Linked DNA regions of Schizosaccharomyces pombe. The gene in region 2 interacts genetically with the main gene of each other region. Each region holds a gene or a part of one and is shown on either strand. Other genes may lie near its edges.

What was found.
Region 1: mutations in mdm31 (region 2) and mmb1 together harm fitness more than expected from each alone (negative genetic interaction), as found in Schizosaccharomyces pombe (one large-scale study listed by BioGRID).

What each region holds. Positions count from the first base shown.
Region 1 is NC_003423.3:2,608,188-2,612,619, reverse strand, and holds mmb1 (mitochondrial microtubule binder Mmb1), read left to right. Parts: upstream 1-1,979; 5' UTR 1,980-2,076; coding exon 2,077-3,582; 3' UTR 3,583-3,932; downstream 3,933-4,432. Other genes in the region: SPOM_SPBC25B2.08 (uncharacterized protein), read right to left, coding at 34-411; BTB/POZ family ubiquitin-type ligase substrate adaptor Btb2, read left to right, coding at 4,250-4,312. UniProt on the Schizosaccharomyces pombe protein: Involved in the cell polarity process and in regulation of microtubule growth. Has a role in meiosis. Involved in microtubule dynamics.
Region 2 is NC_003424.3:1,935,414-1,939,978, reverse strand, and holds mdm31 (protein Mdm31), read left to right. Parts: upstream 1-1,830; 5' UTR 1,831-1,996; coding exon 1,997-3,643; intron 3,644-3,744; coding exon 3,745-3,903; 3' UTR 3,904-4,016; downstream 4,017-4,565. Other genes in the region: ste24 (putative CAAX prenyl protease), read right to left, coding at 1-904, 975-989; mug151 (transcriptional regulator HCNGP-like protein), read right to left, coding at 4,182-4,565. UniProt on the Schizosaccharomyces pombe protein: Involved in the organization of the mitochondrial membranes and the global structure of the mitochondria. Also required for mitochondrial distribution and mobility as well as for the maintenance of mitochondrial DNA nucleoids structures.

The sequences.
Region 1 (4,432 bases), on a different chromosome or scaffold from region 2:
TTATTTAATTATGCTGACATGTGCACAAAATAATCACGAACATTCCCCAATTACTGGCTGTTGTTCAATAGTAGCCAAAGCCAAGGCAGAAGTAGTACTGATTAAGACAGGAGATGAAATTGATCGTACCTTTTTAACCGACCTTATCCGTTGCTTACGGAGCCTTAGAATACCAAAGAAAAGTGTATCAAATAGTTTGAAGGAGCGAGAACGCTTGACAGAAGTATGTTTCTTAATACCAGAACGGGAACGATTATGCATAGGGGTATTTAATTTTTCACTCGATATACATAACTTAGAGGGATCTTCAATGTTGACAGAAGTAGGAAGTTGCGATGGACTGCGCATATCATTTGCCTGCGCATCATTAGTGCCTTGACGGGTATAACTGGAATTTTGATGTGGAAGCATGGTAATAAATTTTAAGAAAAAGAGAAAATAAAAGTAAAATGGAAACAAATCACAATCAAAGGTGAAGTGATGGGATTAAAGGTTTTAATGAGAAAATAATTCGACAAATATGTAACAAAGGGAAACTTTTTTTTTGAATTACACGAAATGTTTTCAAACTTGAATTATGCACAAAATTAGAGAAACCTGAGAATAATAAATAAGCTTGATAATCCAAATAGCCAAGGGATTAATGGGATATAGGGTTGTAGTGATATTTCGGGTGTTTAATTTATTTAGAAATGGGTATAAAGTCCAGACTGTAAACAGAAAATAATCAGTAAACGAAATCTTTAGTGTTCCGTCCGAAAGAAGTTACCCTAACGAGATATGAAATTATGCGAACAGACGAAGTTTTAGAAGCCGACAATTGAATAAATAAAGGATCAAACTTGCTTAGTTTTATCGAAGGAAGCAAAGCAAGAGAACCGTGAGTAGGAAATAGAAAGTGAACAGTAATAAAAAAAAGTAAAACAGTAGGGAACGTTTTCTTAGAGCTTATTACAATTACGAAAAATAAAGCTTATCCCAATTGAGATAGTTAAAAAAAAAGGAACGAAATAAAACGATATGAAAGACAACAAAGGATGGAAAAACAAAAACAAACCGCTGAATGAATTAATCAAAAGAAAGCGGAAAAATTAATAAATACTCATCAATAGAGTAGCACAAGATGAAGCGAAGGGAGTAGGACAAGGCGTTAAGCCTGCGTTTAGTCTGAACAATAGATATAGACTAAAAAGTGAAAGACGGAATTTCAAAGTCTTAATTGGGGTATTCTATGTATATATACGTCCATATCTGGTAACATTTGCAAACCGTCTTTGATGTCAATTTAATAAGGAACCGAAGGTAACTTGCACACCTTGAGCAGTGACTGGGAGTAACACTCTCCTTGACATTCCCTCGGTACATAGGAGACGAATGAACCGAATGAACAAATAAACTAGATAGTTGCCCAAAAATGCACACAAAGCATTATCACTTTTATTAATTCAAATAACGACATACCAAAGTCGTAAAAGTTGGTAACAAACTCTTCAAATGATATTTCTACTATAACATTTTTCGTAGTACTTACCACTACGGGAGATTTGTAGAATCGGTATGATGCTGTGGAAGAAGAGTTATAGCGGGTTTCCTCAATGTGTACATGTTATTCTCATTGTACACTTGCATCTTAATTTTCACATTGCTCTCTCCCATCAATGATTTGCTTTGGAAAAACAACGGGAACAGAAATCTGGGAGGGAACGGAAAAGTATATTCATAGCAATCACAATTTAACGATAATTATTATGGTCAAATGAATACATATATTGAAAAGAATCGGTCAGCTGGATAGAAAATATGTAAACAGTGCAGCACTTATGAAGGTAATTTTATTTGTTTGCATCAGGTAGCAAGAGTTTTACGGGGATTAATAGAATTCGTTATATATACACTAACAATATAGGACGTAGTTTGTTATTGCTACCTAGTGTTGGGCGATACCAGCTAACGGTGTAGTGTATTTGGCTTTCTCTTTTGTGCATTCAGGGTTGTTGATTGCGAGTCTTATTCAATTTTATTCTGCCAATGCCGGGTTCACCAAGCCAAGAGCCTTTGGCAGAGGCCGAGTCTAATATGCTTCAAAGACTGGAGCAACTACAAATGCAAACATCGAATATTCTCAAGGAACTGCATTCTACGTCGATTTTCACGGATTCTACCACCTCACAACTTCATAATGGAGGTGAGAACTCTGTAATGGATACTGAGGAATCCTCGGCTATTGATAAATTAAGTGCCTCTTTACAGCAAGTAAACATTTCTTCACCATCAGTTCCTACCTCTCAATCTCGGGTTACCCAAGGCCAGTCATTAGGAAATACCCAAATATCTAATCCTACTTCAAAGACTAATAATGTACGAGCCAAAGCTCGGAATATTCGTAATCCCTCTCAACGTCTTCGACCCTCGACTAGTTTGGCCAGGTTATCAAATAACGCACCTCGCATTCCCAAAGAGGCATCACTACATGAGAATTCAATTTCTTCCAAGGAATCTCCTTCTGTAACGACCTCTAAACATGTCGCTACTATTACAAAACCTTCAACGTCGTCTATCGCCCGAATGTCCTCAAATGCTAGAATTGCTGCTATTCCGAGAGCGAAATCTTCAATGGCAGTTCGTTCACCATCACGCCTTGGTAATGGCCCGAATGTGCGCTCACCAAAGGTCGGCTTCAATGCAAAGTCGGATGATAGCCCCGTCGTCAAATCTCCTGGCTCTAACGACAAGCCTTCAGCTTCTCCTCGAATTTCTGTTCGTTCTCTCGGAAATTCTTCTGTCGTTCGTCCACCCACAAGGACTTCCACCACCCGTCCATTATCTAGAGTTAACGTAACAAATGCTTCCGGAAGTATCTCAAAGAATTCTACTAGTCCTTCCAAAGTAAAAGTCAACGCATCGACCAAGATCGTGCGTCCTGTAAGTGCAGCTCAGACTGTCCGACCGGGATCCAGAATCTTCAGAGAAAACTCTGCGTCCAATACTCAAAGACCCAACGTCTCTGCCACTTCTAACTCAACTGTTCGGGTAGCTTCTTCATTAGCTGTACGACCTGTTTCACGTAACGCGCAGGCGCGTACTCCCTCAAGATTAGAACAGAGAGAAGTTAATGTGAAAAATTCATCAGCTAAAATCGTTCGTCCAGGTACTTCTTTAGGTGTTCGTTCACCTTCTCGCATTCAATCCACTCTCTCTTCGAGGACAACTACAGGCAATGTTCGTACTAAAGCGGCTAATATCGTTCGTCCTTCTTCATCAATCAACCGTCGCCCTCCTTCGTCAATAAATCAACGCCCTCCTTCAAACTTGCGCATTTTGGCTCCATCTCGCTCGCGTGCAACAATTCATGAGAGACCAAGCAGTTCAATTTTACACAGGCATGCCCATTCACTAACTTCTTCATCCTTTTCCACTAAAACATTGGCTACAACCAAAGAAATTCAGAATTCGCCTACTTTGGTAGAGTCTTCGACAGTCGTTCATCATGATCCTTCTTATCTTCAAAACCAAACTTCCGAAATTAACGATACTAATCACTCTTCTCATTCGTCACCTTTGGACCTTAACAGAATGATATAAAAGTTGAGTGAGCTGCTGTAATTTGATGGCTTCTGTTCCATTTACACTTATTATTCTGCATAATTTATATCACATGTAGATGTTTTATCATAAGGATATTATTATTAAAAATAAGACAAACCATACGGGAAGAATTGGATGTTACGATTTGATATATTACTTTGTATTACTTAAGATCAGCTAATTAATAGCTTTTAAGCTGAAATTATGTTGCATAGGTTTATTCAGTTGAAAGCTTCACGACTGACTTGATGATAGTCGAGAAGTTTAGAGGGATGCGCTCTGTGTTAAAATTCAGCATGCAGCAACATCAGCATACAACCGATATGTAATAAATTAACATTAACAAACTGGCATTGTTTTCGTGCTCTATCAACTATCAGCAGTAAGTAATTGAAGACATTATGAAGTAAATGAGATTGCTGCATTACTAATTCATTTAGCAAAAAATTAAGTAAATAGAAGGGTTAATTTGTGCAACTTGTACGGTATATTTTGGATAGCGCAATTACGTTACGATTCATAACTGCAAGAATATCGAGCTACTCCAGTGCGCTTTCCTTAGGAAACCAAAACAATATTTTAGTACCTTTTTTTTAAATATTACTGACGAGTTTCATTCTGATTTCTTTTTATTACTCCTAACGGATGTGGCTTTAATACAATCATGTCAATGAACAGCTCAACGGAAATTTCTCAAGAGCCCTCTATAATGAAACCGGTATCTTCAGTAAGTATTTTTGCTATTTGAACTTCTGCGTACCTTGAGTCTCAGTTCTTGTATGAACTTTACTCTCAAATTAATGGTTGTTTGCGTAGTTAATTATTTTGGATTTATTGTTAAATCGTT
Region 2 (4,565 bases):
AATGACCAAGTTCGTGACCAAGAATTGCAATAAGTTCCGGTTCCGTATGATTTTTCACAAGAGTATCAAAAAGTACAATTCCTTTGTTCCATGGAAGCCCATAAAAGAAAGCGTTGGAGTGAGTTGATCTACGACTAGCATCAATCACATAAAGCTTCTTCAAGGGAAAATTGATACTGGCAGCTAACTCTTCAATTTGTGTTCTAAGACTTCCATTTTCAAGCGGTGTAAACTTGTAAAACAAGGGCATAATTAGAGAAGGAGCAATAGTTTGTAAAATGAGGCCAAAAACAATATAGGCACCCCATGCATACATAATAAAATTATCACCAAACTTGGTCAAAATTTTAACGAAAACACCAACGACAACACTCATAAGTAAACCACCAAGGCTTAATTCCTTTAAAAGATCAATTACGAAGATCTTTAAAGTCGATTTATTAAAACCATACTTTTCCTCGATCACAAAGGTTGAGTAAAGATTGAAAGGAATTTGAATTAAACGAGAAAACAGAGTAAGTCCAAACATGAAAACACAGGAATGCGTAATCGAAGTCGATAGACTAAACCTTGAGGATGAAGCAGCTAATTTATCCATCCAAGGAAACTTAGTGATATTCCAAAGGTATGAAAGTCCATCATATTTAATAATCAAAAGATCAACGGCTAAAGTAAATGTGGAAACAATAGTAGAAAACCAACTTTTATCACGAGCATAAGACAATGCTTTTTGGTACTTTTTTTCATCAACGTGTTCAGCTAAAATAGCAGGAGGCTTTTCTCTCAACAAATATGGCACTTGCCTGCGACGAAGATACAAATCCCAGGCATACTTTCCAATAGAAAATCCAGCAATTACTATTTTCCAAGGGAAGCCTGGAATGTCTAAAATGTGCATCAAATGCTATAAAAACGTTAATACAAAGTTTTAAACCCCAAATATATTCATAAAAAATCAACTAATCGTTATATACCTGTAGAATTCCCATTTTACAACAATTGGCAAAACTTCTTGTAGTAGGCTTTGGTGTAGCTTGTATGACTGAAATTTCTTTTAGGAAGCAAAGGCCAGGTGACATAAATAGAGTTCAACTATCGAAGAAAAAACAAAAAGAAGTAATCAAATAGCTTTTTGCGAGAAACATATTGTAACATTCATGTTGCACGCATGCTACCTTGGTGTGCATAAGACCTAGACATTTAATACATAATTTGCGTCCATTAATTCAGTTAAAAATGGATTGTGATTCTGTAAATATTTTTAACAGGCATAACGCATATATCATAGATAACGAAAATGAAATCTCAACTTTTCTTTGTCTATTTAGCCGTTGCATCAACAACATTAAAATTGCCAGATGAAATTAACGAAAATAAAGAATTGGAATATGTAAGTAAAGATAAAATTAATTTTATCTTGAAAAGAACTCGGTGAAGTTATATTCAGAAGCTAAATACTACTATAACAGTATGCTTTTTGGCGGCTTCTTAATGCCTTGGACATGAATTGGAATTCTATTCAAACTAAGCGCAATAGTCTTAATAACTCAACCAGCATAATTAAATTTTAGTAGTTAATGCAGGCAGTTAGTATAAAATGTGTATACAGTTGTTGCTTTATAGTCAGCTAGTTAGCTAATTGTTATAATTAAGCAAAGTATGTAATAATTCGATGTCATCTCATTCGTACAAAACATCTGATTTATAAAGTGTATACTCAGAAGCATATATAATAATTTGGAATGGATCATCGTTATTTTCTATATATTTTGCCATCTTAGCTAAAGATTTTAGTGTAAACTTTGCTAGTTATTCTCCTATTTTCTTTCTGCAGACAACCATATACAGGAAAGGCATTGAAACTTTTATAATATATCATTACAGGCAGTTTATTTCTTTAAAACAGAAGCATATATAGAATAATTTGTCTTGACTGTAATTATATACACTAATTGTGCTTTTCGAGAAGGTATTATTTATTTGACCTCATAAGTTGATGCTCGAATCACGACTTGCGAAGAATATAGCAAGGATTGTTCAGGCCCGTAAGCCCTATTTAATTTCTTATCATGTTCGTGCTTCTACTCAAAATGCCTTACTCAAGCAAACCGTTTTGCAATCTAGCAGCTTCAAGAGTTTTCCTACTCTTCCTAGACTAGCAGCTAGGAATATTTCAAACAGTGGGATATTGTCCCGTACTACACCTGTAATTATTAAGCAAATATCTATGGTTAGAAGTTACTCGTCTGGAGATGTTGAAAACCCTGAGATTCTCAACAAAAATGAATCAAATCAATCTTCCGGCGTTAAAAGGGCAATGCCATTTCGCGTATTAAAAAAAATGAAAAGCTTTCTTTTTAAGCAAAACAAACCCTTAACAGTGGATAATGTTACTGCCTTTTTCAGTTGGTGGCTTGTGAGCCATATAGTTTGGATCGTAGTTGGTACAACAACTTTTTTTTCATTGTTATTGTACACCTTAAACACTGTTTCTGCACAGGAACTATTAGGAAGATGGATTGGTCAGTTAATGACAAAAAATACAGGGTTCCAATTCGTCTTTGAAAGCGCAATTGTTCCCAATTGGAGGAAAGGATTAATCACATTCAACAAAATTTCCGTAATTAGAAGACCTGATACTTTGAATGGCATTGGAGCACAAAATCCGAATAATAAGTCTGATTATGAAAAAGAGTACATGGCTTTACGAAAACGTTATGATTCTAATGAGGAACCTGACACTGAGGCTCTGAGTCAGGGAAACTATACTCAATTTGAGTTATCCATTGATAAGGCAGATGTTTCGTTTAGCTTTGCTAGGTTTTTAAATGGTAAAGGGATTGTTAAGGAACTTCAGCTGAAAGGTGTTAGAGGTGTAGTTGATAGACGGTTTATTGAATGGGATCCATCCTCCGATCCTCGTGATTACCGTCGTAAACACAACTGGGGGGATTTTGAAATCGAAAAATTTAAGCTAGAGGATTTGCGTGTTACTTTATTACAACCTAAAGGTTTTCGGAAGTTCCCCGTTAGTGTTTTCTTTTGTGAGCTTCCTAGGCTTAGAAAACAATGGTTATTTTATGATTTAATGAATGCTAAGACTCTCACCGGAAGCTTTGATAATAGTATGTTTACTATTCATCGATTACAACTTCGTCCATATTCACCGTACCTAAAAGTCGGTAAACAACTCGATGATATGCGACATAGTCGCTTGCGTATTGATAATGTCGCAATCGATCATCTAAATCGAGGTGTTTCGGGAGCATTTGGATGGATTAATGATGGCAGTGTTGATTTTTTAGTTAATATTTCTTTTCCATCAGAACCTTCGGAAAATTCTTTCCAAAAAGCGTGGATAAGTTTGATGGACAAATTGAAAAAGAAAGAAAAAGATGAGGATGTTTACAAAGACGTTCACTTTGATGTTAATGTGCAATTACATAATCCCAAAGCCGTAATTCCTATTTTTACAAATCAAGTAAGCTATATCAACAATGCTTTAATTCGACCTATTATTGCTTACATTAATTCCACACGGACATTCATCCCTATTCTTTGTCATGTATCAAAACCGCTTTCTGACTTTGATGGAAGCTGGACTTTTTACGACAGTGGTGTTTTACAAGAAATTTCGGCGCAGGTAAGTTCTACCCTGTTCCTTACTATAAAAGAGCGTCTTTTCCTAAAATTTAAGAGTAATTTACGCTTTTGAATATTAATAAATACTAATTTTTGATGTAGGTGTATGAATCGTTTGCTCGAGATGTATTAAATCAAGAGATACGAAGAAAACGAATTCAGAAAGTTGGCTACTGGAGTCTTCGGAGGTTTTTGCATTTAGTTTTGGTTTCTTTGCAGGAATTGGCTCCGACAACTTCTTCAATCAGTAATTTCGAATAGTTAAAAGTGATGCTATTTATTATTTACGGTTCTGATTCTCTTCATGAAAGGCTTTTTTGTTCTATCGGTAGTTAAAATTATTATAATAACAATTATTATTTTTGAAAATTGACTAGGGTAAACTAATGACTTAAGCTACTAGCCATATAAATGTCTTATCAAAATTGGCATTTCTGGATCATTTATTCATAACAGGCTAAGGTATTAAATTAAGTAGTCTTATATATATTCGGTAACGAAATTATTTTTACAAACACATTATCTTTTGATACTCAAATTTATTTAGGATGTTGAGAGGTTTGAAATTTAATTTCAGTTCTATCATGCTTTTGGTAATTTTCACGCCTGGCAATCATTTCATCCTGTGATTTAGAGAGTGCGGATGCATAGACGTTTTTATGAAAGTCCGTTGGATCCCACATATCCTTAGATATCATAGTTCCTCTTGGCTCCTTAATATCCAGAAAATCCTGCAAATTATCAAGTAACTTTGGGTTTCTGAAATTTTCATTTTCTGATAGTCTCGTATGAAAATGAATGCCCTTTGCCTTTAATTTTATAAATTGCTTTATCTTTTTCTCCAGCTCTGTGTCAACTTCAGCTTTAGGAGAATTTGGGATTTTCCAATGGGGTTCCTCAGAACGTCCTTTAATATCATTGTT